Linked DNA regions of Elephas maximus indicus. The protein of the gene in region 3 interacts with the protein of the main gene of each other region in a pairwise test. Links are inferred from orthologs where the notes say so. Each region holds a gene or a part of one and is shown on either strand. Other genes may lie near its edges.

The links.
Region 1: the proteins of KRT40 (region 3) and cytochrome c interact in binary tests that used the Homo sapiens proteins (3 or more experiments, as listed by UniProt). The two-hybrid records come from large-scale screens. The link is inferred for Elephas maximus indicus from reciprocal best matches to the Homo sapiens genes KRT40 and CYCS.
Region 2: the proteins of KRT40 (region 3) and BYSL interact in binary tests that used the Homo sapiens proteins (3 or more experiments, as listed by UniProt). The two-hybrid records come from large-scale screens. The link is inferred for Elephas maximus indicus from reciprocal best matches to the Homo sapiens genes KRT40 and BYSL.
Region 4: the proteins of KRT40 (region 3) and ATPAF2 interact in binary tests that used the Homo sapiens proteins (3 or more experiments, as listed by UniProt). The two-hybrid records come from large-scale screens. The link is inferred for Elephas maximus indicus from reciprocal best matches to the Homo sapiens genes KRT40 and ATPAF2.

The regions. Positions count from the first base shown.
Region 1 is NC_064826.1:86,187,006-86,194,219, forward strand, and holds cytochrome c, read right to left. Parts: upstream 2,920-7,214; 5' UTR 2,786-2,919; intron 1,854-2,785; 5' UTR 1,846-1,853; coding exon 1,677-1,845; intron 1,564-1,676; coding exon 1,415-1,563; 3' UTR 507-1,414; downstream 1-506. UniProt on the Homo sapiens protein: Electron carrier protein. The oxidized form of the cytochrome c heme group can accept an electron from the heme group of the cytochrome c1 subunit of cytochrome reductase.
Region 2 is NC_064819.1:106,347,089-106,354,958, forward strand, and holds the start of BYSL (bystin), read left to right. Parts: upstream 1-4,861; 5' UTR 4,862-5,226; coding exon 5,227-5,494; intron 5,495-7,870. Other genes in the region: MED20 (mediator of RNA polymerase II transcription subunit 20), read right to left, coding at 729-883, 4,690-4,703. UniProt on the Homo sapiens protein: Required for processing of 20S pre-rRNA precursor and biogenesis of 40S ribosomal subunits. May be required for trophinin-dependent regulation of cell adhesion during implantation of human embryos.
Region 3 is NC_064837.1:48,073,166-48,080,719, reverse strand, and holds the start of KRT40 (keratin, type I cytoskeletal 40), read left to right. Parts: upstream 1-4,547; coding exon 4,548-4,994; intron 4,995-5,665; coding exon 5,666-5,748; intron 5,749-6,030; coding exon 6,031-6,187; intron 6,188-6,986; coding exon 6,987-7,148; intron 7,149-7,232; coding exon 7,233-7,358; intron 7,359-7,554. UniProt on the Homo sapiens protein: May play a role in late hair differentiation.
Region 4 is NC_064820.1:214,307,219-214,314,790, forward strand, and holds the start of ATPAF2 (ATP synthase mitochondrial F1 complex assembly factor 2), read left to right. Parts: upstream 1-4,675; 5' UTR 4,676-4,761; coding exon 4,762-4,894; intron 4,895-7,572. Other genes in the region: GID4 (glucose-induced degradation protein 4 homolog), read right to left, coding at 3,879-4,242, 4,392-4,675. UniProt on the Homo sapiens protein: Plays a role in the assembly of the F1 component of the mitochondrial ATP synthase (ATPase).

The DNA.
Region 1 (7,214 bases), on a different chromosome or scaffold from region 3:
CTCATCTTCCCTTTGACTGAAAATAAGGCTCACTGGTTACAAATTACTCAGACCTTTAACGCCTATCTAATAATTTCCATCATTTTTGAAATAACTGACCAGTTTCTCTTCCCAGTCTCCTTACTATCCCACAAAGATAAATACTCTTCCACCAGCACAGATTTGTTACCCTCACTGAGAAATTCTCACCATTCTTTACAGCTTAGTTTAGTTCACCTTCTCTATAAAATTTCCAGGGGCTACTCTCAATATGTATAAAAAAAACTGTGTGTAAAATAATTTAGTACGTAATTATACACTGTTACGTTATCACAAAACTTTGACCAGGGCACACTCTTCTACCCACATCTTGTGTAAATGCTGTAGTTCTTATTCTGGCCAAGCTAACTCTAAGACTGAATTATTGATGTTGCTTTGTGGGTCTTCAGAGCTATTACACTTTTTAACCATTATGATTTTGACATGAGTCATTAAATCAAGCACATTCAAAAAATTATAATGTTATTTTTTAATTACATTAAACCTGATGACCAATTTACAAACTTGTGCCTATAATATATTGCCTCTACTTTAATCCTTCTAACAAGTTGATAAAAGCACCATAACCAATCACACGTATACAGTGGTTCAACAGTTTTATGTGTTTTTGAATAGCTGCTTAAAGACAATCCTGAATTGCAACTTAGTGTTAGATGGTAAAGAATTTAAAATCCAACTTGCTACTATATCTCATCATGCTGACTTTTAAAAGGATCTGACCTTCTAGATCATCTACAGTATGTGAGAAGTGTTAGTCTTTACTTTTTTTTTTTAAATATTCTTTTTTGATATCATAAACAAACCACACTGCAATGCCTTTTCTTAATTAAAAGGCAACACTTTAGATACAGGGAATTTTAATTAGACTGACATAGTTATGAGCAAAACAATAAAGTGGCCATAACTAACTTATCTCCAACCCTTGTGTTTAAATAGGCTGATGACTACAAACTGAAATACAGTCTTGCTCTGTTCCATTAGACAGTGAAGAAGTTTCCCCACTATTTAAATATATCCATGTCACCAATTATATAAATCTAAATATAAAATTAATCTCTTATAGGTTGTGAGATGGCATTTACCATCTTTGTGAAAAATCGACCACTATTAATCCAATTTAGCCTCAAGTGCAAACACATCTTTAAAAGGGAAAAGGAATACCACTTGCTGAACTGAAATTACTATCAAAATTTAAAAAGTTAGATCGTATTTATTTAACCACAGCCAATCTTATTTACTCCAGGAATGCCCAACAAAAACATTCTATCAGCCATTCATGATCTGAATTCTGGTGTATGAGATCACTTTAAATACGGTACATGTAAAAAAAGTCAAGAGACATTACTATTGTAATAAATAAGGCAGTGGCCAACTATTACTCATTAGTAGCTTGCTTGAGATAAGCTATCAAGTCTGCCCTTTCTGCCTTCTTCTTAATGCCAGCAAAGATCATTTTTGTTCCAGGGATGTACTTCTTGGGATTCTCCAAATACTCCATCAGTGTGTCCTCTCCCCAGGTGATACCTATGCAAGGAGAGATTCACTGAGTAAATATTTCACATTCTTGATAAAGGGTTTACTGTAAGCTAAAGTCATGCAATTGTACTTTTGGTTATTAACAACCATACCCCTCTTACCTTTGTTCTTATTGGCATCCGTGTAAGAGAATCCAGGGGCTTGACCAGTCTTCCGCCCAAACAAGCCGTGCAGATTTGGCCCAGTCTTGTGCTTGCCTCCCTTTTCCACTGTGTGGCACTGGGAACATTTCTGAACAAAAATCTTCTTGCCCTTCTCGACATCACCCATTTTGAATTCTAAAAGTGAATGAAAGCTCCAAGTTAGTAATTCTTCCCCCAAGAAACAAATACAGTGGAAACCAATGACCACTCCAGTCACTTAATTATGAATCCATTGCTACTCTATGATGTTAAATACCAGGTTGAATCTTGTTTTACTTAGTACACTCCCAACAGGCTCTTTAATATCAAAACACTGTTTAGAAAAAAAAGACTCAAACACACACACTTCTGTATGTGTGTAAGGGATTTAAGATTAAAGCCCAAGTAAGCAAAATGAAACCCATTTCAAGCACCAGTTTCAAGATAGCAAGTCAAGGTCACAGAAGTATCACAATTCTGAATTAGGGGCAGGTGAGGGCTCTGCGAGGTTCCCCCCAGGGACATGCTCACCCTCCCAGCTCTGGGATCCCCGGGAGCCATCACGAGGTCACCCATACAGGCCGCTTTCAAGGAAACTAAGATGAAAACCGCCTTACTGCGATGCCTCAGCAGGTTAACGGGGGCAGCCACTACTGATCTGAAAAAATGATCCCTTACGAAAGGAAAAGCAGCTTTTATTTTCTTTGAAGGAAGACGAGAAGTGCCGCTGTCTCCCTACTCCTCCTCACCGGGGAGCAAGTCTTGCCTATTTTCAAGGTCCCTCGGCACCGAAAACGCGACGGCCTGCGTCTTCTTCGGATCCGCATTCAAGCCGCCTTCGGGCCTTCAAGGCTTTGGCCGAATCCCTGTTTCTACCTTGATGGGGTTCCGCTGCCATCCAGCCTGGCCCACTGGGTTCTGCCTGACCACAGCCCCGGGTCGTCACTCCAGGTCCTGCCTGCCCCACACGGGCTCCACCCGGCAGTCCCGGACGCGGACCTCTAGCCGCCCGCGCGCCCGCCACGTAGGTGTGTGCCCCTCACGGCTCAGCCTCCTACCCGCTGAGCCTTCCGGGGCCCCGTGCTTACCACTATCTCTTCGCGCGCAACTCGAAGGTCACCGCTCAAAAGCCGGACGTCCCGCTCTCTAACTCCAAGGACACGCCTGTCCGGGACTATGAACCGGTGTTGGTGCAACCAAACCCGCTACGCCCTCCCACGTCCCGGCGTGCGGCACGGCCAGCAGCTCCGGGGTGACGTCAGCGCGCCTGATTGGCTCCAGTCTACCCGGCTTGCCTCAGGGACTTGCGCGCGCCTGCCGGCTAGCAGGGTAGGCTGTGCCGCGTGAGTGCCCTATGTCTCGAGGCCTCACTTGCCTGGCCTTTACGACAGGCCATTGAACGTACGACGTAAAGGTTGTGCCGGAAGGGGCTGAAAAGGCGCACGTGGCTTTTGTGCGTATGCGTACATTGGTGCGGCTCGTGGAGCTGAGTCGCAGAGGTGGATCTGGGGCTAAGGAAACGGGTGTTCGGCACGTGACGCAATACGCTTTGAGGACAGTGTTTTGCCTTCTCAGAGGGAGCCGCCCCAACTTTGACTTACTTAGACGTCTCCTGGCTGCCATCCTTTAAGCTGGCGACCGTTACCCAGACTGGGTCATAGTTCCACAGCTGGCGCCAGCAGCACCTCAGACGGCGGGTCTGGAGCCAGAAGTTACACGATTTGGACATGATCCTGTGTCTGTTTTTTTCCACCTCCACGCTATTACTTTAAGTTATCTTCTTCCAAATCTTCCTTTGATGGTCGCCCCAAGACTAGGGAGGATGCTGTAATTGCGGCAGGGACAAGACTATAGCCCTGAACCCTCACCTGCAGGCTTTTCTACCAACTTCCTTTCCTCCAATTTGTGTGCGTTCCGTGGAGGGTGCGGGCAGCATCTAGGAAGAAACATTAATTTTAGATCATTAGAGGATTCTTGAAGAGCTCTGGTGGCACAGTGGTTAAAGTGCTCGGCTGCTGACCAACCAAAAGATTGGTAGTTTGACCTCACCAGCAGCTCTGCGGGAGGAAGATGTGACAGTCTGCTTTCCTAAAGATTGACAGCCTTGAAAACCCTATAACCCATTGCAGTGGAGTTGATTCTGACTCATAGCGACCCCATAGGACAGAGTAGAACTAACCCACATGGTTGCCAAGTCACGCCTGCTGTATTCCAAATGCCAGTCTTTTGATTAGCAGCCGTAGCTCTTACCCAGTAGCAGTTAAACTTCATCCTGAAGTGTCGCTATGAGTCAGAATTGACTCCAGGGCATCGGATTTGGTTTTGTATTTTAGAGGATTTTTGGAAATTTCCATCCTTTCTAGGTAAAGGTCATGTTAAAGTAAGCTAATGAGGTTGGGGCTATATTAGAAATGCAAGTTTGATCACCAGTACTGCTGCTGTCAGTGGAATCCCATTCATGGTGACGTCATATATATCCAGAGTACAACTGTGCATAAGGTTTTCTATGGCTGTTTTTCGAATTAAAAAAGTAAAATCCAGGCCTTTCTTTTAAGGCGTGTCTGGGTGGACTCGAGCTTCCAACCATTTAGTTAGCATCCAACCAAAGTAACCATTTACACCACTTGGAAACTCCACAGTTCCATAGCTCCCAGTCATACTTTTCCTCCAAAACTGGCTCCCCTTCCCAACGTGCTCAGTTCTGTCACTTGTGAGTTTCTTCTCAACTCCTCCCTTTCTCCTCAAATTCAGCTGCGAAGTTCTGATAAAATTTTCTCCTTTCCTATATTTAAAAAACTCTTTTACCATGGGGTCAATTCTGACTCATGACAACCCCATGTGTTTCAGAGTAGAATTGCATAGGGCTTTCAATGGTTGTGAATCCTGGTCTTGCAATGGTTAAGTGCTTGGCTACTAACTGAAATATCAGTGATTCGAACCCACCAGTGGCTCCACAGGAGAAAAGGCCTGGTATTCTGCTTCCATAAAGATTATAGCCTAGGAAACCCTATGGGGCAGTTCTACTCTGTCATATAGGATCAACTCAATGGCACAGAACAGTGATCTTACAGAAGTAGATCACTAGACCTTTCTTCCATGGTGTCGCTGGCTGGATTCAGACCACCAACCTTTTGGTTAGTAGTTGAGCGCAAACTGTTGGCACTGCATACTCTATATAGCACTGCCACATTCGTCCCATCAAGTGTTTATTGAATAGCATATTATGTGGTAGGCACTTGTCTAGGTTCCTGGAGTAAATCAGTGAGGACTTCTTCTCTAGTGGAGCTTACATTCTAAGATCTTTTCTCCCACTCCCAACTTAAGCAGTAGATAGTAGAAGGTTGACCTAGATTACCTTAGATCACTTCCAAACCACTGGTTTTATGATTTCTGCTCAGACTACTCATCCTTCTGTTTGACTGGATTATTTCTGTTGTTTTCTGTCTCCTGACTTCAATTCCCTCTCTGTAGTCTCTCACACTGCTGCCACAGTTTTCCTATAAATCCGAGCAGAAATCAAAACACTTAATTCAAGACCCTGTGGCTTTTGGAGGGGACCAAGATAGAGACCATTTCAAGAATAGATTTGATGCATTGAACACTAATAACTGAAGACCCGATGAGTTGTGAAATGACATCAAGGACATCACACATGAAGAAAGCAAAAGGTCATTAAAAAAAAACAGAAAAAAACAAAATGGATGTCAGAGGAGACTCTGAAAGTTGCACTTGAACATCCAGTGACTAAAGCAAAAGGAAGAAACAATGAAGTAAAAGAGCTGAACAGAAGATTTCAAGGGATGGCTCAATTGTTGTAGTTGTTGTTAGGTGCCGTCGAGTTAGTTCTGACTCACAGCAACCCTATGCACAACAGGATGAAACACTGCCTGGTCCTACACCGTCCTCACAATTGTTGTTATACTCGAGCCCATTGTTGCAGCCACTGTGTCAGTCCACCTTGTTGAGGGTCTTCCTCTTTTCCGCTGACCCTGTACTTTACCAAGCATGATGTCCTTCTCCAGGGACTGATCCCCCTTGACAGCATGTCCTAAGCATGTAAGGCACAGTATTGCCATCCTTGCTTCTAAGGAACATTCTGTTTGTACTTCCAAGACAGATTTGTTTGTTCTTTTGGCAGTCCGTGGGTGGCTTGGTAAGACAAAATAAAGTATTATAATGAAATGTGCAAAGACCTGGAGTTAGAAAACCAAAAGGGAAGAACATGCTTAGCACTTCTCAAGCTGAAAGGACTGAAGAGAAAATTAAAGCTTTTAGTTGAACTATTGAAGGATTCTAAGCAAAATATTGAACAACACAGGAAGCATCAAAAGAAGATGGAAGGAAAACACAGAGTCACTGTGCCAAAAAGAATGGATCAATGTTCACCCATTTCAGGAGGTAGCATATGATCAAGAATTGATGGTATTGAAAGAAGAATTCCAAGGTGCACTGAATGCAGTGGTGAAAAACAAGGCTTCAGGAATTGATGGACTACCAATTGAGAAGTTTCAACAAACAGATGCAACGCTGGAAATGCTCATTTGTCTTTGTCAAGAAATTTGAAAGACAGCTACCAGGCCATCCAACTGGAAGAAATCCATATTTGTGTCCATTCCAAAGAAAGGTGATCCTCCCAGAATGTGGAAATTATCAAACAATACCAGTAATATCTGTAAAAATGCCATGGTGGGGGCATCTGACCTCCACTAACTTCACAAGGGGGAGAGAATCATTAGCATCAATGACCCAAGGCTGATTCCTGTGAGGCAAGGGTGGGGTGGGGTTGGGGGTGGTCCTCCAGCCTTTTTAGCAATTCTGACACCAGCCGTCCTTCCCACAGCACTCTCTACTTCTTTGCTGGGTTCAGTATTTCATTGGAATGGCCACACAAAACTTACAGACCATACTAAAAGTTACATGAGGTTTATTAGGGTACTAACAGGTTACAATTCAGGATACAGTTCTTTGATCAGGACAGCCTCTTTCTCAGCTGTGCCCACATATTGGCCTCTGTCTGGTCCTTGACCTTATGACCCCTTGGGCCTTTTGGACTGGCCTGGCCTCTACCCTGCTCAGGCAAGTGTTACAAAGTCCTTTTAGCTCTGCTGGTGAGTGCCAAGAGGCACCCCACTGCACCAGGAAGCGTCCTGCCCAAAGGAGCTCAGCTCTCTCGCTCAGGGAGCTGGGAAGCTCACTGCATTGTCTCCTGCTGGTCTCATGGCTCTGCTGCTGCTGCTTCTCTGCCCCTGATTCTTGCCATCTTGCCATCTCTGGTGTTAGAGCTTATTCTGTCTGTCTCCTGGGTCTAGGAGGGTCTCAGTGCAGGACCCAAGTCCAAAAGACACGCTCTGCTCCAGTCTCTTCTTTTTTGGTGGCAGTCAAGTCCTCCTCTGCTGTGGAATTGGCTCTCTTTTAGGCCCAATGGGATGGCAAAACTGCCCAATCCCCATGTTAGGGTTCCATACACCTTATTTGCATGGACTCTAGGCCACAAGGTGGCCATGCACCTTATTTACA
Region 2 (7,870 bases), on a different chromosome or scaffold from region 3:
AAGAGGCAAATGACAGGCAAGGAACAGATGGGTTAGAAGACTTACCTAATGCTGTACACTTAGGAAGTGGCAGAGCCAGGACTCAGGAGCCTGTCTCCACGATCCCTGCTCTTAACCTCGGTGTTATGGAACTGTCCAAGGTCATATGGTAAGTTACAGCAGAGCCAAGACCAAGAAAATCCAGGATCCCTAACTCATGTTCAAAGATATTCTTTCCCTCCCTACCATTCACACCCCCATCTCATCAGGCAATGCATTTAAAACAAAAGTTGGTCAAGGTTATGCTGAAGAGGTAGCCAAGGCCACTGGCTAGGTGTTAGAAAGTACTTAAAAAATCATACATGAGATTCCTGAGCCTGAAAGGAGTCTTCCTTAAACTTTAGAGTACATAGGGATCCTCTGGGATGCTTCTTAAAATGTAGATTACGAGACTTGCAACACCAGTCAGTCAATCAGTAAGTGGGGCCAGGAATCTGCACCTTTAACAAGTAACCCAGGGGATTCTGATGCACTTGGTCACCAAACCTACCCTTTGAGAAACACTGCTTTAAAACAGTTGAAACGAAAAACAGCCAAAAATAGCCCCAGTCTAAGACATGAAGGACCAAGAATTAAGTTCTTGTTCAGGAATACCACTCTTAGCAGAAGAGCAGACAGACTTCAAAGAACACAAACGTCCAGCAGCTCCAAGTCTGGTTCCAACCATCCTACAGACCCGTCTCACTGACCTTGGCTGCCAAGGGTAGAGGCAGCCGTGTGGTAGGTCTCACAGTCCACACAAAATGTTCCTTGCTTCTCTGCCCCAAGCATCTCCAATTTTCGGGTAAGGAGCTCCACAGTCTGCTGGACACTCTTGCCCTCGGCCACAGGCATCTGGGACACGCTGGAAGAGAGAGAACCAAAATCATCAGTATCCAGAGACACACAGGCCTCACTGAGCCACTCACTCACAAAATCATAGCTCATCAGGCCCAGGAGTTACCTGAGAGACCACTCACCCTGACCCCCTCATCCCTGAAAGTTTCTCTAGAAACCAAAGCACAGGCCTCAGAACTCTTACACCAGTGCAGCGAACTTCTTATCACTCTAGCATTTCCCAAGTGTAGTACGTGTGCCACCATTCAAGAGAAGACTTTAGGTGGCACACAGACTGAGCATTCCGTAACACTGACTCCTGTCATGAGAAAGAGATTCCCTGTGCATTTCTTTCAGTTCTGACTACGTCAAGGATAAAGTATGTTTGGACTTCGTACACTTTTACCAATTCTCTAACACTCTGAACTTGGGCTATAAGTACAGTAGCCACTAGCTACATATGGCATATTTAAATTTCAATTAATAAGACAAAATTTAAAATTCACTCCCTCAGTTAAAGAACTACACACATCGCAAGGGCTCAATAGCCACATGTAGCTGGGGGCTAGTGTATTAGACACTGCTGATACAATGGGCACTACTGATATAGAACATTTCCATCACTGCAGAAAGGTCAACAGCCCAAGGAACAAAGAGAAAGCAACCTCAAGTTTATCATCTTTGGAGATGAGAGGCAACAATATCTATGAGAATTTAATACAATGCAACAAAAAAAAATGTTATTTCCAAGGTGTCCTTCTATGGTGAGTGAAACTGCTTCCTCTTTAGGATGATAGGTGACAATTACCAACCATCTACTTACTATCTGCCAGGCAGTATCCTAAGGTCTTTAGATGGATTAACTCTTCAAATCCTTGAACAGCTGTATATGAGGCACTATTACTTTTCTCTTTGTTATAAATGAGGAAATTGTTGTTGGCTGCTGTAACTTGCCGAAGGTCACATATCTAACATGTGGTGTAGCCAAGATTCAAACCAGGCAACCTGGCTCCCACATCTATGCTCTTAACCACAATAGTAATCTACCTCTCTAAGAATGTAAGTTGATGGTTAAACTAAGTTTAAGAAAAAAAACAGATTTAAAAGAAAACATTAATAAACACTACAGGTGGTACTTAGCTATGGCAAAAACCAAAAAGACAATCAAGACACTTCACTAAAGAAGACATTCTGGTAGCTAACAGATACATGAGGAAATGTTCACGATCAATAGCCATTACAGAAAAGCAAACCAAAACTACAATGAGATTTCACCTCACTCCAACAAGGCTGGTATTAATCCAAAAAACACAAAATAATAAATGTTGGAGAGGCTGTGGAGAGACTGGAATGCTTACACACTGCTGGTGGGGATGTCAAATGGTACAACCACTTTGGAAATCGATTTGGCGCTTCCTTAAAAAGCTAGAAGTAGAACTACCATACGACCCAGCAATCCCACTCCTTGGAATATATCCTAGAGAAATAAGAGTCTTTACACGAACAGATATATACAGGCCCATGTTTACTGCAGCACTGTTTACAATAGGAAAAAGATGGAAGCAACCAAGGTACCCATCAACAGACGAATGGATAAATAAATCATGGTATATTCGCACAATGGAATACTATGCATCGATAAAGAACAGTGAGGAATCTGTGAAATATTTCATAACATGGAGGAACCTGGAAGGCATTATGCTGAGTGAAATTAGTCAGCTGCAAAAGGACAAATATTGTATAAGGTCACTATTATAAGAACTTGAGAAATAGTTTAAACTGAGAAGAAAACATTCTTTTGTGGTTATGAGGGGGGAGGAAGGGAGGGTGGGAGAGGAGTATTCATTAATTAGATGGTAGATAAGAACTACGTTAGGTGAAAGGAAAGACAACACACAATACAGGGGACGTCAGCACAACGGGACTAAACCAAAAGCAAAGAAGTTCCCTGAATAAACTGAATGCTTCAAAGACCAGTGTAGCAGGGGCATGGGTTTGGGGACCATGGTTTCAGGGGACATCTAAGTCAACTGGCATAATAAAATCTATTAAGAAAATATTCTGCATCGCACTTTGAAGAGTGGCGTCTGGGGTCTTAAACGTTAGCAAGTGGCCATCCCAGATGCATCAATGAGTCTCAACCTACCTGGATCAAAGGAGAATGAAGAACACCAAGGGCACAAGGTGATTACGAGCCCAAGAGACAGAAAGGGCCACATGAACCAGACACTACATCATCCTGAGTCCAGAAGAACTAGATGGTGCCCGGCTACAACCCATGACTGCCCTGACAGGAACACAACAGAGAAACCCTGAGGGAGCAGGAGAGCAGTGGGATGCAGACCCCCAATTCTCATAAGGCCAGACTTAATGGTCTGACTGAGACTAGAAGGACCCCAGAGGTCATGGCCCCCAGACCTTCTGTTGGCCCAGGATAGAAACCATTCCCGAAGCCAACTCTTCAGACATGGATTGGACTGGACAATGGGTTGGAAAATGGTGAGGAGTGAGTTTCTGGGATCAGGTGGACACCTGAGACTATGTTGGCATCTCCTGCCCGGAGGGAAGATGAGAGGGTGGAGGGGGTTAGAAGCTGGCGAAATGGACATGGAAAGAGAGAGTGGAGGGAGAGAGTGGGCTGTCTCATTAGGGGGAGAGTAATTGGGAGTGTGTAGCAAGGTGTATATGGGTTTTTGTGTGAGAGACTGACTTGATTTGTAAACTTTCACTTAAAGCACAATAAAAATTATTTAAAAAAAAAAAAAGAAAGAAAATGCCTGAACCAAAGCTATGAGAAACAAAAGTCCTAGGATTCTTAAAAAAAAAAAAAAAAGGTAAGGGTCCCAACAGACAAAGTGTCAGGGGTTTCCAGGGTCCCAAGCCTCCATGTTGCAAACTTTTCATTCCCATCCCTCTTACACTACAGGACTCAGAAGAGAATCATATATCAACTGTGGGAAACATGGGCATAATCACTTGCAAGCTTTCAAGAGCCTGGGCTACCAGGAGAAAAAAATGCTCCTACACACTTTTATATGAGAAGCCTACAGCCACTGACTTCAGATATTCTGGGCTCCAGCCCCTCTGACTGGAAAAATGTTTTAATGTCTTTGAATGGAATGACATTAAAACGTCCTGAAACTAAGCCTTTTGGAAATAATGCCTCTGAGAGCATTAGGCCCACCTTTCCCTCTTCCAACTGAGACTTACAACATGTTAGAAATAAAAGGCCGATAGAAACTACACCAACCATGGAAGCCAACATAGTAGGAAACACGTCCTGAAGAGGTAAAGCAACTAGAAGCCCATCTTCTAATTCTCAGTGGCTTTGTTTTTACTCTTGACCCGAGGTATTAAAACGGCGAAAATGAAACTAAACACAAACTGGTCTCACTGCACTTTGTGGCTGTAGGGAGGATCAGGCAAAAACCTAAAAGAAACACTGTCTTCTCCTTGCCTACCCTCCACTCCCTCCAGCGTTGCCTGCTGATAGGTGCCAGGCCGGAGATGCTACTTCCGAAGCTGAAGTCCTATTACTAGCAGTAATATGGCCTCACAGGCAGAAAGAAAAAAGGGAGATACAAACATTAATGGGTTTCTGGGATAAAACCTTTTACCTGCCGCCTTCCAGGGGCTCATTTTCGAGGAAACAGGCCCGGAGAACCCGCAGCCCTCACAGTGTGCCTCTCATTCCCACAACACGGAGACATCTTGCTAAGCTCCCTGGGGGACGGCGGACCCTGGTAGTTCCTCCCAGGTCTGTTCGAGGCTCCGAAGGTCCTTCACGACCCCCAGTCTCGCCCCACAAAATCCCGAGCGGTCCTGCAGTCTTACCAAGTCACTCCCATGGTGTCCGGCCAAGAGGGTTGCAGCTTCAAACAGTTGAAACTCAGCACTCTCGATGAAGTGAAACCCACTAAGGAAAGCTTCGAGCGAGGGAAACGCCCCGGAAGTTACGTAAAAACAGTGCGCCTAGTCGACGCGCCACGAGGAAAGAGACCTGCCTGGGCAACCCCTGGGTGACGCCTCCAGCAACGTCATCCGCTCAGTTCCCGCCCCTAGGTTTGCAGCTTCGGAAACTGAGATTTGGCTGGGCATCCAGGGCCTGGGTCCATGAAGCTACGAAAGCATGGCTCGGACTGCCACCCCATAGAGGAACCAGCAATGAAGGTATTCGAGTATCTAGCTCCAAGGCTCACGAGCTCTCTTAGGAGGGGGGGAGAAGCTGATGGCACTTCTGGCCTCCGAACGCTGGGGGTCGCGCTGTTCTTTGCGCTGCCTCTTGGGAACTGAGAGTTCACTGCGCAAGCGCGCTGGGCTTCTCTCCTCGGTACCCACGTGTAAATCTTCCCGGTAACTTTTTTGAGGAAAATGCCAAAATTTAAGGCGGCACGCGGGGCTGGGGATCGGGAAAAACACGCGCCCCTGGCGGAGCAGATCCTGACTGCGGACGCAGTGCGGGCGGGGGCCCGGGAAAAACGGAGGGGCCGCAGGACCAGAGAAGAAGAGGAAGAATATGTGGGCCCCCGGCTGACCCGACGGATTTTGCAACAAGCGCGGCAGCAGCAGGAGGAGCTGGAGACTGAACATGGGACTGGAGACAGGCCCAAGGCGCCGAGGGAGCGCACCACGCGGCTGGGTGAGCGGTGGCGGGCGGGTGGGCGAGCGGGGGTGGGGGGCAGAGTGTGCGACGAACACAGCTTTGTTGAGGATGGACGACTTAGAGGTGACTTGCAAAGGAATAACTGGGAATTAAAGAAGGGAGTCCATATTACACTCTTACAAAGGTATTGGAGTAGGAGCCGAGTCGTGGAGCGAATTTAGAGTAGTCAGAGCCCCACCACGCCCACTCCTAGTTTTAAGCTCTTACTCCCCGGCATCCCCAAAGTTAGACCAGGTTCTCCTAAGCAATGATCTTTTTGTTCCATAAATATGTATGGGGTGCTTACTACGTGCCTGGCACTGTGCTAGGAGTTTGGATTCAGAAATGAACAAGGTAGACACTGTCTCACTTCAGGACCCAACAGTCTAGAAAAGAGACAATTAAATAGACAACTAGAATAATACATTCCATAATAAAGAAACTACAGTTTCTCCAGTAAGGAATAGCATAGTCTTGGGTGTCAGGAAGGGCTTTCCAAATTAACCTATTAGCTGAGACTGGTAAAATGACTGAGGGTTAGCTATGCCTAAGACATCACACTTCTGTTTTACTGCTACTTCACCTCTCAGTCTTTTTTGCTGGCTCCTCTGTTATTCCCAACCTCTAATTATTGAAGGGCTCAGTCCTTGGACTTCTGTTAAACCCACATACTTCTCTGGTGATGTCATCAAGCTTCATGGTTTGAACACCATCTGTTTGCTGACTACTCCCAATCTTACATTCCAGCCCAGATCTCTTCAGTGGAACCCAGATTCAATATTATATCCTACTTGGCATCTCCAACTGGAGGCCTGATAAACCTGTTGCTGTGGAGTAGATTCCGACTCACAGCGACCCTGTAAGACAGAGCAGAACTGCCCCATAGCGTTTCCAAGGAGCAGCTGATGGATTCGAACTCCGACTTTTTGGTTATCAGCCTAGTTCTTGACCACTGTGCTACCAGGGCTACAGGAGATCTAATAAACATCTCAAATTTAACATGTTAAAACTGAAATCCTGACCTTCCTCCCCAAACCTGCGCCTCCCACTGTTTTCCTCATCTCAGTTTGTAGCACGATAACTTCCCATTGTTCAAGACAGAAACCTTGGACCCTTCTCTGTCTCCACACCCAGTCTGTCGAGAAATCATGTTTGACTCTACCTTCAAAATGTATTTAGATCAGACCACTTCTTACCACCTTGGAACACCACCGTACCACTCTGTTCCAAGCCGCCAAGATCTCGCAATTGAATTATTGTAGGAGCCTCCTCATTAGTATTTCTTACCCCTCCCCCACAGTCCGTTCTCAACTCAACAGCTAGAGGATTGCAATAGCCTTCAAAGCCCTATCTGTTCAGCCCCCTCACCCCCATTACCGTTCTGGCTTCTTATACTATTTTCCCCTTTGCCTTGTCCACTTCATCATACCTATATAGGCTTCATTGTTGCTTAAACATGGCAGTTCAGGGCCTTTGCCCTGGTTATTCTCTCTGCCTGGGCTGTTCTGTCCCCATACGCCTGTAGGCTCACCTCCTCAGTTACTCACCTTTTCAGAGAGGCCTACCCTGACCACTCTAATTAAAATTGCAACACCCCATCCCTTCTCTCCTCTGCTCCACTGTACTCCAACTTGTATACTATACTCTTAACTTTATTTTCATAGCCCTTGTCATCTTTTAACCCAGTATGTTTTACTTGTTATGTTTGTTCCTTGCCTGTCTCCTCCAATTAGAATGTAAGCTGTACAAGGACAAAAAATTGTGTTACTCTTGTTCAGCGATCTATTCCTAGCACCCTGAACTGTGCCTTACATACAGTAAGCACTCAGGGTTTGCTGAATGAATGGATTAATGAATGATGGCGAGGTAGGTAGGAGCCAAGTCTCCAAAAGACCTAGAGGCCATGCCTGGGATTTAAAACTATCCTAAAGGGAATGGGAAACTACTGAAGAGTATGTTGAGTGCAGGACCAATCAAATGTGTATTTCTAGAAGGTTATTGTGGCTGCAGAGTGGAGAATGAGTTGGAGGGAAGTAAGGTTGAAAGTATGGAGATCATTTAGAAGATTCTTGAATTAACCCAGGCAAGAGATGATGCTGGTCGAGGTTTAGATAGGGCTGTGAGGGATTTGAGAGATATTCTACAAAGTGGAATAGGACCTGGTAATTGTCTGGGTGTTGGGGGTGAGGGTGCAGGATGAGGCGGGACTGCCTCCCAGGCTGTGGTATGGCATTGGGTGAATGGTGGTGCCGTTTGCTGAAATGTGGAAAAGAGTGAGTGGTGCAGACTCAGGAGGGAAAGAGAATGAGTTCATTGATGACATGTGATGTTTGAAGTGCCCATGCGTCATCTAAGAACGGCTATATAGAAGGC
Region 3 (7,554 bases):
ACTTCAGAGGACTGGGTTGCATGTATATAGGACGAAATTCCATGAGGCCTAGCAGAGAGTGGCTGCTGGGGCATTAAGAGCTGAATGGAAATATCAGCAGCCATTCAGTATTAATAAGGAGCCCTGGTGGTGCAATGGTTAAGTGCTCAGCTGATAACCAAAAGGTAGGTGCTTCGAACCCACCCAGTGGCTCCACAGGAGAAATCTACTCCGCTAAAGATTACCAAAAAACCCAAAACAACACTCGTTGCCATAGAGCGATTCCAATTCATAGCGACCTTAAAGGACAGAGAAGAGCTGCTCCATAGGATTTCCAAGGAGTGACTGGTGGATTCAAGCTGCTGACTTTTTGGCTGGCAGCTGAGCTCTTAACGACTGTGCCACCAGGGCTCCCCCTAAACATTACAGCCTAGAAAATCCTATGGGCAGTTCTACTCTGCCACAGGAGTCACTATGAGTCAAAATCAACTTGATGGCAACCAACAATAACAAAAATATTCAGTACTAATAGACTTTAAAGTTTCAATCCAGACAGAATGGAAAAAGCTCTCTGAGCACCTCACACATTCAACTGATGTTCCAGAAAGGACACATCAAAAGAGTAAGGATCACAACCTTGATAAACACTAAAATGCATAAAAAATTGCAATGTAATGTGACAGTTGCCTTAGGTGGGGTAAGTACAAATTGCTATAAAAAGAGCCTCCATCTCAGTGTGAAGCAGTTGGATGCCATTTCAGCTGAGTCTTGACTTGTGAGTTCATCCAGGTAAGAGATAGTAGAAGAGGATTAGACCAAGGAAACAGGACCTGCAAAGCCTGGAGGTATGGTCGGAGTCTGGTGTTTGTAAAAGAGAGTAACAGGAAAGAGCCTAAAAAGGCAAACTGGCACCAGATTGAGGAAGGTCATATATCAAACTTTGGACCTCCTAAGTGGAAAGTGATAAAAATAAAAAAATGATTATCACAGCAGAAGGTGTTATATTCTGGGGTAAGAGTATGTTACAAAAGGAAATTTTCTATTTATTTTTCTCTATTCCCAATGTTCACATGGAGTCCCTGGATGGCACAAATGGTTAAATGCTCAACTACTAACTGAAAGGTTGGCAGTTCAAACCCATCCAGAGGTACCCCAGGAGAAAGGTCTGGTGATCTGCTTCCAACTGTTCACAGCCTTGAAAACACTATGGAGTGTAGTTCTACTTCTGCAACACATGGAGTTGCCATGAGTTGGAACCAACTCAACAACAACTGGTTTGGTATGGTTTAATGTTCCTCACTGTGAGGATGATAAGCTATAAAACATATGCTGGGCAATTTCCATATTCTAAGATGAAAACTATAGATACAGATCATCATATAACACAGCACTAATTAATCAAGGCCAAAATAAATAGTCTTTCCCTGTGTGTATATATGATGTATATATATATATATATATAATAACTAGGAATCAATATTTTACAAATAGAAATCAGATTGAGACAGAAGGAAATATGTCTTATTTTACCTGCAGTTACTTTAAAATAATGACATTGCTGCATTTTAATTAAGTGGACCCTATGGTGAACAATCAAGACATGGACTTTCTTCAAAGATCTCTTCTCTTGACTCATTAGGTTAATGATTATGTTAGGTGCCATCGAGTCGGTTCTGACTCATAGCGATCCTATGTACAATAGAACGAAACATTGCCTGGTCCTGCACTATCCTCACAATTGTTGCTATGTTCCATGGATTGAATTGTATCCCCCCAAAATATGTGTCAACTTGGCTAGGCTGTGATTTCCAGTATTGTATGACTGTCCACGATTTTGTCATCTGATGTGATTTTTCCTATGTGTTGTAAATCCTACCTCTATGATGTTAATGAGTCAGGATTACAGGCAGTTATGTTAATGAGGCAGGACTCACTCTACAAGACAAGGTTGTTTCTTAAATCAATCTCTTTTGAGATATAAAAGAGAGAATTGAGCAGAGAGACACGGGGACCTCATACCACCAGGAAAGTAATGCCAGGAGCAGAGCGTGTCTTTTGGACCTGAGGTTCCTGTGCTGAGAAGCTCCTAGAGCAGGGAAAGATTGATGACAAGGACCTTCCCCCAGAGCCAACAGAGAGAGAAAGCCTTCCCCTAGAGCTGGTGCCCTGAATTCAAACTTCTAGCCTCCTAGACTGTGAGAGAATAAATTTCTCTTTGTTAACGTCATTCACTTGTGGTATTTCTGTTATAGCAGCACTAGATAATATGCCAAACCAAAAACCAAAACCATTGCAGTCAAGTTGATTCCAACTCATAGATAACTAATATAGCAGCACTAAATAACTAAGACACTATGAGCCCATCATTGCAGCCACTGTGTCAATCCATCTTGTTAAGAGTCTTCCTCTTTTTTGCTGACCCTCTACCTTACCAAGCATGATGTCCTTCTCCAGGGAGTAGTCCCTCCTGATAATATGTCCAAAGTACATGAGACAAAGTCTCACCATCCTTGCGTCCAAGGAGCACTCTGGCTGTACTTCTTCCAAGACAGATTTGTTCATTCTTCTGGCAGTCCAAGGTATATTCAATATTCTCCACCAACACTATAGGTTAGTAAGGGACTGTAATATTTCCTTGGATGTTTGTAATTTTTAATTTGCTTTTTAATCCTTGAACTCAACGGCTGTTGCGTAACAGCACCAATATGTCGTGAATCACTCCAAGAATTTGAAAAATAAGTTTTGATTTTAGAATCACTAAAATCAAGTCCAACTCTGTCCAGTGAATAAAAAATCCTAAAAGACTACTTTAATCCATCCTATAGAAGGTCCCCTGGTTTTGTTTTTTCCATTATCAGTTAACTAGGAAGTAGTGCTCAGAATTAGAAATAATTAAGTTTGTTCTGGATCATGAAATTTTTAACTTTGTCAGACTAATGCTTTTTCCTATAAGGATCTCAAAGATTCTGGAGGAAATTTTCCCTGTGTCACCTTTGAAAATGAAATAGATAACCACAATCACAGTGGAATAGATTATGGATCATAGTGGAGGTAAGATTGAAAAGAGAGTCCAAATCACGGAACACTTCAGGTACAAACTATCAAATGGGAAACCAATTTGCTTTGTAAGCTTTCTCCTAATGCACAATAAGAAATCTAAAAAATAAAATAAAAATAAAGTTTCATTTAAAAATAAAACAAAACAGGATCCAGGAAAGTTTTATCTCAAGTCTCATCCCCTTAGGGATTCCACCAGGGATTTCATCCAGCAGAATTGTCAGCCTGGAACCCACACCGTAGAATTTTTATCCTCCAAGTCCCAGTATTTTTAATTTTCATAAAATTGAAGTCTTCAGAAAAATTAATAAGATAAAGCAGACTCCATAATCTCACCGAAAGAAAAGTCTTCTATAGCTTTCTTGCCGTATTCTAAGGATCTCTCAAGAGCCTAAAAAATTATAACTTAGAATTTATATTTTATTCTTATTAGAAATACCTGAGTAACCTACAGCTATTCTCAAATACCTTACTTTGCATGTCATCAGGAGGGGCGAATCTCTGGAGAAGGACATCATATTTGATAAAGTGAAGGGCCGGGGAAGGCGTGGGAAATCCTCAGTGAGATGAACTGACACAAAGATGGCCACATCAATGGACTCAAATGTACTAAAGATCATAAAGATGGTGCAGGACCTGGCAATGTTTCCTTCTGTTGTATATTGGGTTGCCATGAGTCAGAGCCAACTCAACAGCAGCTCACAACAACAACATTCCCAAATAAGAAACATTATCTCTGATCCAAACATGCGACACACGAGAAGTGGAGAAGGCAAGTTTCAGCAAACCAAAGATGACAACTCCTGATAACCAATTTATATTTCGACCTAAAGGGCAAAAAAAGGTATGTAATGTGATCTTTCCATTTTCACCTAGAGAGAGAAGGTTCACGCATATACACATGTGCACCCATACACGTCAAATCAAGTACACACCTCACTCCTCTACCCTGTAAACACAAATGTGAAGTCAAGATCACAAATACCATTGCAAAGATTGCTAATCACACTGAATATTTTTATGGTGGTGGCAAAAATAAACGACATTTAATGATATGCAATATTCTTTTTAAAGGAGACACAATATTAAATGCACAGGATCAAAATCAGTGCAAATACTCTTATCCTTACCTGTAATCAGTTATATCTGTAATTATTGAATGGCCAAATGTTCTCTTTCTTCCAATATTCTGTCAAAAGGGCAATGTCCCCCGTGAAGATTTTCTGAAACAAGTATTTTATTATACTCACACACAGAAATCGTGTACATCCCGATTTAGAAACCTGGAGTTATCCCTCTTTTATGAGGCATAAAACTCCTCCTCTGTAAATAAACAAGACTAATGAAATGTTCTTAAGAAAACTGCCACCAACGATGTTAATGAAAACATCCAGAGCAGTCTGCAAATACCCACTTGGGGGGACTATATAAAAGTCTCAGAAAGGAAGAAGACTTTTGGAGTCAGGTAACTTGGGTTTTACAGCTAGTCTCTGTTCTTCACTTCCAGTAGGATGCCTTCTGAGTGTTCTCCCACTCGCTGCTCTTCTGAGTCTGGTGCCAGGGCTTCTGATCACCCATCTGTTTCAACGCGTTCTATGAAAACGACTTGTCTCCCTAACACCTGTGCTACAACCAGATGCCAGACCCCCACCTTCCCATCCACGTCTCGCTTGTCAACTGGTTGCCTCACACCATGCTACTTTGCTGGGAGTTGTAATATTCCATGCTTGGTGGGGAACTGTCCTTGTTGTGAGGATGGGGTGTTCAACAGCAACGAGAAGGAGACAATGCAGTTCCTGAATGACAGACTCACCACCTATCTGGAGAAGGTGCGTGGCCTGGAAGAGGAGAATGCAGCACTGGAATGCAGGATACGAGAACAATGTGAACAGGAAATCCCACTGGTGTGTCCTGATTATCAGTGTTACTTTGACACCATTGAAGATCTCCAACAAAAGGTCTGGCAACCCATTGCCCTAATACCTTTGTTTTCCCAACCTGTGATTTGCTTTATCTTTATACTAGAAGAGGACATTTTAGGCATGAAAGGAAACCAAGGGAGGAGGGGATTCCAAGAGCTAATGTGTTGTGGTAGAATGAGCACTGGACTAAGAGTCAGGAAACACCAGCACTAGCTCCAGTGCTGCCACGAATTAGTTGAGTGATGATAATAAAGTCGCTTATGTATAGGCTTTACCTTTATCATTTATAAAACGAGGGAAAACTGTGTTATATCTGAAATTACTTCTCATATAACACTGTATATTTGAACATAGAAAATGAAATGCCATCTTTTTAATTATATAATTTCACGTAGTAACCATTTTCTTTTACTGATGAATTTCTATTATCATGGACGGGGATCTATACAGTCATAATACAAACTATGGACAGAAAAATGTAACTGTGTTCATGTCTTATAGTCGTAAAAAACGAGCCATTTTACTTCTCTGTTTTGTTGTTAAATTGGCAATTTTTCTTCATGAGTGACACTGTTAATTTGAAAAGCAGGATGAAAGCTATTTTATGTTTTCTTATAAATATTTTAAAGGATAGTTACATCGCAATTAAATGAATAGATACCTAGTATTCTTTCAAAGAGCCATTTATTACATAACTTACTTTCCAGATTTTGTGCACGAAGGCAGAGAATTCTAGACTTGCTGTACAGCTTGACAACTGCAAACTGGCTGCTGATGACTTTAGGTCAAAGTAAGTTTAATTTGAATTTGAAAATGATTTATGGTTCTCCTTCTCTCCTCTCTCTGGTTCTTTTTCTCTCATAAACACTCTCACTGGGCACAAATGGTCTCTCTGTGTAATATTATTAAGCTAAAAATTCTCGCAAAACTCTATTTTATAATTATTTGGGATATAAAAGAAATTATGATATGTGGCTCCCTTGAGTCCATGTATCATTCGTCAGTACAGCCCCAGTACTTTGCACAGGACCCAGCAGAGTAAGCATTGGCTATATCTCTTTTGCTGCGAAAGGTACGAGAGTGAACTGTCCCTTCGCCAGCTGGTAGAGACTGACATCAGTGGCCTGCACAAGATCCTGGATGAGCTGACCCTGTGCAGATCTGACCTGGAGGCCCATGTGGAGTCCCTGAAGGATGATCTCTTTTGCCTTAAGAAAAGCCATGAGGAGGTGAGGACAGTGGCAAAATCCCTAAAGGACCCTAATGGTGACAGGGTTAAACTGACAGATGTTATGTTTAAGTGTATAAATTGAATCTGGATTGATGTTGCTTAAGCTGGAACAGAATTCCTCGAGGCACACTTGTTATTCGGCCTGATCACTTCAGTGTATCTCTGAATGAGACAACTCTGGCCAGCGCCCTATGAAGGAATCAAACTCTTCACTTGCCATTGTTTTTGCAGAGGAGTTGAGTAATTCCACAAATGGTTTCCCTTGGAGGCTTTATGACACCCCTAGCTTCAGCCCAAGAGGTATGAAATCGGACTGATAAACGCAGACTATGAAGTCCATTTCGAAAAGGGGATACCCATGCAATATTTCTCCATGATTCCAAATGTTCTGTACTTAAAATCATAAAACATGAAGTGTATGATAATGCCATGTTGCGGAGGTTGGAAAATGAAAAGTTGAATGATGTAACAAAGAAGGTTTTCTCTTTGAACATGTTTGATGATAGTAGTAGTTAACATTTATTGAGAGCTTACTATGTACCAGGACTTGTTTAAGTTATATGTATGTTAATTCTTATATACCTCTGGGAAAGGAACTATTATTATATCCACTTCTCAGATGAAAAACTGAGGCATTTATAAGTAGCGCTAAGACATTCAAACTCAAACCACCTGAATCTAAATTCCACACTTCCAGCCACTGTTCCAAAAAATAGAAATAGGATGCCATTGGGGTAGAATTTTGTCAAATTGATTTTTCCCCCACCACTTTGTGACATTCCTATTTCCACTTTCAGGAGGTCAACCTGCTTCTTGGACAGCTTGGTGACCGACTCAGTGTGGAGCTAGACACTGCCCCCACGACCGACTTCAACAGGGTCCTGGATGAGATGCGTTGTCAGTATGAAACAGTGCTCGCCAACAACCGCAGAGACGTGGAAGCATGGTTCGCTGTTCAGGTCAGCACCTGGAGCCAACACAATAGCAGGCTTCCAGATCCCTGCCTCATTCATTTGCTTTCTCTAAAAGTGCCTATGTTTCAGACAGAGGAGCTGAATCAGCAGCAGCTGTCCAGTGCAGAGCAGCTGCAAGGCTGCCAGACGGAGATCTTAGAACTGAAACGCACAGCCAACGCTCTGGAGATTGAGCTCCAAGCCCAGCAAAACTTGGTGTGTAAGGGAAAGACAACTGTTTTGTCACTGATGAAGCAGACCTTGAGATACTCTCCCTTCTTCCATAACCCAAAGAAGAGACAGTTCATGTGACAAAGGGCCCGGTTTCCAATTTGCAGGGCTTACATTTCCTTGCCTTTCCCAAGCATTGCTAAAGCAGGAATGACAGGTCAGCAGCTTGTACTGCCCCAGC
Region 4 (7,572 bases), on a different chromosome or scaffold from region 3:
CAAGGCACACGACAGGTCAGCATCTCAATGAGAAAGATAACAAGGCCCATGCTTAGCAAGAAGGTCTCTTGGCACAGCTGTGTCTAGCAGCTGATCTTTTTAATGTCCCTGTCAGAGTGACTGGGCTTCATTTATGCTGAGCTTCTTGGTTGGTGAGGAAGAACAAAGTAGTCACAATAAAGACAAAATGATCCAGTCAGGACCTCACAAAGGTTTGAGGAATGCCTTAAAACGGAATCCCAAAAAAGAAAGTGCTCCAGTGAGCACAAAAAAGATGATCATTCCACATTAAACAGACCCAAACCTGTTGCCATGGAGTCAATCTCGACTCATAGCGACCCTATAGGACAGAGCACAACTACCCCATACAGTTTCCAAGGAGTGCCTGGTGGATTCGAACTGCCAACCTTTTGGTTAGCAGCCGAACTCTTAACCATTATGCCACCAGGGTTAGGGAAATGCAAATCAAAACCACAAAGAGATACTACTTCACAGCCACTAAAAAGCCCAATGCCATCGAGTCCATTCTGACTCAGTGACGCTACAGGAGAGAAGAACTGCCCCACAGGGTTTGCAAGGAGTGGCTGGTAGATTTGGACTGCTGACCTTTCAGTTGGCAGCTGAGCTCTTTAACCACCCGCTAGTGTGGCTAATACAAACAAGACAAATAATAAGCATTGGCAAGAATGTAGAGAAATTGGAACCCTCATCCATTGCTGATGGGAATGTAAAATGGTGCAGTCAGTTTGGATTGTCAGTTTGGCAGTTCCTCAAAAAGTGAAACACTGGGTTACCATCTGACCCAGAAACTCCAGTCCCAGGTACCTACTCAGGAGAACTGAAAACACGCATTCACACAAAACTTGCATGTGAACATTCACAGCAGCACAATTCACAATAGCTCAAATGGAAACAACGCAGGTGTCAATTAACTGATGAATGAATGAACACGTGGTACATAATACAATGGAATATTACTCAGCCATTAAAAGAAATGAAGTTCTGATACATGCTGTATCGTGGACGAACTGTGAAGACATTGTGCTGAGTGAAAGAAGCCAGTCACAAAGACCACAAACAGTATGATTCTATTTACATGAAATGTCCAGAATAGGCAAATCTATAGGGGCAGAAAGTAGATTAGTGGTTGCCTAGGGCTGGGGAATAAGGGTGGGGGGAGGTGGTGACAGCTAAGGGGCATGGATTTTTTGCAGGGGGTGGGGGAAGGTAATGAAAATGTTCTAAAATTAGATTGTGGTGGTGGTTGGAAACCCTGGTGGCGCAGTGGTTGAATGCTATGGCTGCTAACCAAAAGGTCGACTATTCAAATCCACCAGGTGCTCCTTGGAAACTCTATGGGGCAGTTCTACTCTGTCCTAGAGGGCCACTAAGAGTCAGAATCAACTCGACAGCAACAGGTTTGGGGTGGTAGTTACAAAATTCAATGAACATACTAAAAACTATTGAAGTGTACACATTAAATGGGTGAAACCATATGGTATATGAATGATATCCTGATAAAACTGTTTAAAAACAAAGTAGCTGAGTTATGAAAGGCAGGAGAAGTATTCTGAGAAGCTGAGTCCAAGAAACTAGTCCTGGCTGAAAAACCAGAAGATGGGGCAATTTACATGCCACTGACTAGTCCCCATGACAAACAAGCAGCTCACTAATCCAGATGCAGGGCAGCATTCCTTGACATGATGACAGCCCCCCCACCAGGCATCCTACTCAAGTAGCTGCCAGCCCTGGGAGGGATGTCTTCTCTGTGCTGCCCTGAAACCTGTCAGCAGAGCACAAGTCTCCCCCAAACATCAGATTCTAAAGCCCACTGACTCACTCAGCCTTGTGGGTTCACAAAGAAACTTGGCACCTGACAGGAGTTCAGAAACAACACACTAATGGCAGAAGTAACCAAAGCAGATTTCGTTTTGACACTTAAGTTACCCCCTAAAACATCAGAAACCATTAACTTTAAAAATGGGCACAAATTCAATATGATTCCAAACATGACCCACACCAAGGATCTCATTTCCAGAATTTTATGGTTACCAAAAAAAAAAAAAAAAAAGCTTGTACCTTCACACTAAATTCTCACATTTTAAGCATAAGAGGAATTGCCTCATGAGAAATATAATTTTGAGGCTGAAAGATGTCAACCACACTAGTTTTTCAATTATAATAAATATCACAGCTCACAGCAGGGTTTTAGGTTCACAGACCAAAGACATAATTAATGTGAGAATCCTGTTTTCCCGATCAAAAAGAAAAAATTTATTCCCACAGAACAATAAGAAAAAAAGAAATTGATGAAGGGAGCTATAGTTAGCAGAAAGAAAAATGTACCCCCATTGTCTTTTGGGTGGCAGACCTACTTGTTCAGAAGAGATGCTCTTTAAGATTCAAAATAAAAAAGGTCAATGGGTGAACATGAAGAAAGGACACACTCTACATTCTATCCTCGCTCGTGAAAGCAGGAGTACATCATGCCAGGGCCTCAGAGTTCTCCGTAAGGGCTGTCTAAGGGACAGATACTTGGAGGGGCTTTTAGGAACAGCCTAGGAGGTGGGGTAACAGACTAAGGAAAAGGGGGCAAAGGGAGGGAGAAAGTGGGTCCAGAGGCAAAGGCAGACATAGAGGAGGAACAGTTTTGTGGGGAGGGAAGATGGAAAGACGTATTCACCACCACCATCACCATCCCTTGACTGGGAAAAAATGTCAAGTGTGCTACCATTTGCGTGTAAGGGGTGAGGTAGAGTGAAGGGCCAGGAGAGGTGAAGGTATACTTCCAAAGCTGGTCAGCACCTGGCAGCAGGTACTCAGAGATCCAGGTCAAATGGGGGGAGGAGGATGAACGTGGAAAGGAAATAATCCGTGTGAGAAACAGAACTGGGTGAGTTAGATTTGCCAGTACGCAGGTATCAGAGACTGTAGGAGGAAGCCCTGTGCCTGTGTGGGTAAATATTAAGAACACAGAAAGAGGTTCCCCTGGAGCAAGGAATGAGGAAGATTCAGGTATGGGGTGGGAAGGAGGTCTGAGTACAGGGCCAGGAAGGCGGAGCAGATTGGAAGTGGCCAAAGAATGGGGGTAAAGGGTATGAGAGGCCTGGGACAGGAGGCCTGGAGGTGGAGGCAGCTGTGAAGAGCTGGGTGCTTGAAGCAAGAGACTGCAGCAGTAGGTAAGCAGAGGGTGGGGTACAAGAGGCAACAGACTATAAGGAGCCACAGCACGCAGCCAGGGTGTGAGGGTCTGGTCTTGAGGGGGGCCAGGGTCTGAGCAATCAGTTGTGGGGTTGGGGGCTCTCAGGCTCAGGGTCTAATAAGAGGAAGGCTTAAGAGTCAGATTGAGTTCACCCAAGGAGGAAATCAGAGCAGGAGGAGAACCCCGGGGTCGGAGGTCTGATCTTGGAGGATTCCTGGGACTGAGGAAAGGGGGACATGTCTCAGGTCTGGGAGAAACTGTCACGGGCCCAGCCATGGGAGGGGGCGTCCCGATTCGGATGAATCCAATAAGGAGTTCTGAGAGGGATTGGTGGGAGCTGATCTAGGGGTGACAAGACAGGTCACGGGTAGGAAGTAACCTGGTCCAAGTAGTGGGGGGCTTCCGGATCCCAGAGGGTTAGGTCACAGTCACGGGGTATCTGGTCAAGGGGCTCCATGTCTGAGGGAGTGGGTCCCAGTCTTAGGGGGCAGGTCAGGGTTAGGGCTCGCAGAGTTTGAGACACCAGCTGGGCAGGTCCCGGCTGTGAAGCGCCGGGCGCAAGAGGCCCCGGCGGCCAGGGCCTGATCTGCGGCCGCAAGCTCGAGGACCGCGGGCGGGCTCGGGCCGTGAGCGCCGCGAGGAGGTCCTTGGGCCGCAGTCGCCGGCCGGCGCTCACCTGCAGCACCACCTCCACGTCGTACGAGTTCCCCTTGCTCTTCTGGTGGCCACGGAACTTGGAGCCGCTGTATAGCAGGCTGGTGGCCACGCCGGGCTGCTGCGTGTTGATGGGCGGCGGTGGGATGAGGGAGGCCGCGGAGGCGGCCGAGGCACCGGTCGGCGGGGGACACTCGGTGCGGACCGGCATCGCGGGGTCCCCCGGAGCCAGGGCTGGGGGAGGGGAGAGGAACCGCCGCCGCCGCGCGGGAGCCGAAGAGGGGGAGGGGAGGGGGGCCGGGCGCGCACGCGCGGGTGGCCTCTGGGGGCACCACCCGCCCGCCACCTGCGGACCAGAGCTCCGGCCGCCACCGGGACCCCGGGACCTGCGAGCAGGGCCTCCCAGCGCTGCGCCGGGTACCCCCACTCGCCCTCGCGCGCGCGCGCGCGCGCGCACGCACACACACGCACACACACACACACGCACACGCGCGCTCATACAACCACACACACACTCACACACACACATACACACACAGTGACCCTTCCGATTGGCCCCGGCTCGCGGGGCGCCGAGCTCAGGCTCACGCGGCGCGCCCGCCCATTGGTAGGCGGAGAAAACACGTGGCGGGGTGCGCGATCGGCCCTCTGGGATTTGTAGTCTTCTTCTCGAGGCGCAGCGCGGAGGGGCGGGGCGACGTGCATTTGTGATGCTGATTGCGCGCGGTTGCGACAGCCTGCCAGTGGTGTCACGAAGAAGATGGCGGCGCCCAGGGCAACTGAGGGCTCTGGGAGTCGGTGAGAGAAGTTTCCGAACATCCCGCGCGCGTGTCGTGGGTTCCCTGCGCTCAGTGTGTGCTGCACTCAGGCTTCGCTCTGCGCGTCCTCGGAGACCCTCGGGCGCAATGTGGAGGAGCTGCCTCCAGCTGCGGGACTGGGGCCGCCACCTCCTGAAACGGCCCCTGGGTGGCCCCATCGACCCCTTGGTGCCGGGGCCATCCCCTGAGCTCCGGGCCCGGGCCTACGCCCCCCCAGCAGGTGAGGCCAGGGCGCATCCTATTTGGGCCAGGTTCCGAGCTCGGTTAGGGTGGGCTGAGGGCTCAGACCCTGCCACAGGCCGGGAAAGTGCAGACAGACGGGCAGGGGACTCCGGGAGGATACGCAGCGCTGCAACGCACAAGGCAAGCATTGACATTTGGCCCGCGCCACTTTTCTCAAAGCTTGTAACGAAAACAGATGTTATCCCTGTTTTCAGATGAGAACATTTGGGTTCAGGATCAAGACTTCACCAGGGTCACTGAGCAGACTGTGTGAGAGGTTGTGGCCTGTAAAGGCCGGCTGTCTGACCCCTTTCTGTGTCACCAGCGCCTAGCACAGGACCTGACACAGGAAGGGCCTGGAACCCAGGCCTGCAGTCCTCCCTCCTGGCCACTTTGTCTGCACCACATTTCCTGGCCCTCACTCTAGGCGCCCTACCGGAACCCCTCCCACCCCCAGCCTTTTCTGGTAAACGGAAGTGGACACCAAGTGCCTCCTTTCTCCACCTACGATTCTGATAAAGCCTAGGAGAAGGTAGTGACTCCTGCATTGTGCAGGGGCTAAGTTTTACGGTAAGAGTGTGAGTGACTTGCTTCAGTAAATGAAGAGCAATAACATTCTCTTTCCGGGCTGTTGGTTTTCCTATGCTAGGGCAGAAGGTGCAGTGGTCTTCAAGACAGAGGGGTCCCCATCTTGGTGAGGGCAGGGGATTATAGTATTCTGATTAAATAGAGGTTTATAAAGGACGTGCAAAGAAACTGAGAACACAAAGAGGCACCTAGTCCCATCTTGGGGAGGGGTTGAGGGCCTAGAAAGGGCCTTGAGTGAAAGGACATTTAACCTGAGCCTTGATAGATGAGAAGGAGTTTGGTGAAGAGGAGGAAGAAGTGATGGGTAGCTAGAATATGTCCAGAGGTGACAGGGAGTGTGGCTTGAGGGACTATGCCATACACTGCCTGCTTTAGAAAGTCCAGAACATGGGCAGTTTAACATTGTGGCTGGAGTACAAATCTGGGTTCTTATGTCTGAGGCACTGTGTTATCTTGGGCAAGCTACTACTTCCTTTGAGCCTCATTTTCTTCTGCGAGCTGAAGGAATAAGCTGCTTCTGTGGTCCTTTCAGTTTTTAAGCTCCATAAATTTATACAAATAGGGAAGGGGGTTCGGTGCAGCGGGGAGCCGAGTTTTCAGCTATCAGGGCCCAGATGAAGGGCTTGGAGGTGGGCCATGATGAGCCAGTAAAGAGGAAGAAGGAAGGACATTCTAGGGAGGCACAGCATGAGCAAAGGAGACATGCTCAAGCATTCACCACGTTGGCAAAAGCAAAGGGTTGATTTAGGTTGTGGGTGCCTGCTTTCCATCACTGCGGCACTTGATCTATCCTCTCCTTGTCCTTTCTACTGCAGACTTACTAGTTAGGCTCTTAGCAGTACCTGGCAGATGGTAGGTGGTCAATCATGAAAGAATGAATGAGGTACAGTGGGAGGAACACCCATAAATCAGGTCTGTGCATGCTGTACAAAGACGTTATCAGTGGTGAGGTTCTATGGGCCTTCTTGGGTAAGGTTTCAATGGTTAAGGAGATTGAATCTGACCCTTTAGGAATGGTCATACTGTTGAAGGTTTTCAAAAGGGGTTTAGGTCCCTGCACTAGCTTGTCATAAGTCCATTGACTCTGGATGTGGGGGTTGCGGATGCTCTGGAGAGGCAGCAAACACCAAATGAAGTCAGGACTCACCATTCACAAGTTGTTAGTCACCTGGACAAGTCATGTAGCTTGTCAGAGCCCTTACTACCACAGAGGCATTACCTGCCTTGTCTTCCTCATAAGGGGGTTGGGTAGATTACCAGTGATTCTCTAGCCTGCCACCTGTTTTTATAAGTTTTGTAAATAAAGTTTTATTGGAATGAAGCAGTGCTCAGTCATTTACATATTGTCTCTGTCTGCTTTCACTACAACAGCAGAGCTGAGTAGTTTATTGTCTGGGTCTTAATAGAAAGAGGTTGCCAATCCCCGTTCCAGAGCAAGAGCAGTTTGGAAAATGGGGAGTCTGTTTGGTTCATTTAGCCCGTTGAAATTAGTTGCTATGGCAGACACAATTGGCCTGAAGTTTTGGGTTTTTTTTTTAGCAGTTTCATTGCAATTTAATTCACATACATACAGTTCACCCATTTAAAGTGTAAAATAGCTTTTAGTTTATTCACAGAGTTGTGCAGCCGTCATCACTACCACCTCCACCCCTAGGCAACCACTAATCTACTTCCTGTCCCTGTGAATTTGCCTGTTCTGACATTTCACGTGAATGGAATCATGACATGTGGGCTTTTGTGTCTGGCTTCTTTCATTTAGCATATTTTCAAGGACTATCCATGTCATAGTATGTATCAGTACTTCATTTTTTTTTATTGCTGAATAATATTCCATTGTATGGCTAGACCACATTTTATTATCCTCTTATCTGTTGATGGACATTTGGATTATTTACACCTGTTGGCTATTGTGAATGATGCTGTTCTAACAAAGTTTTTGTTTTTGTGTGGCCAGCTTTTAAAATTCAACACTTTTTACATACCTGTTTCTTTGCATCTACATAGTCTACAGATTGTCTCTTAAAAGGCACTGTGTATGTGTGTTTGCCACAGATGTCCTGTAAAGGGAATAATTCATACTCAGAACGG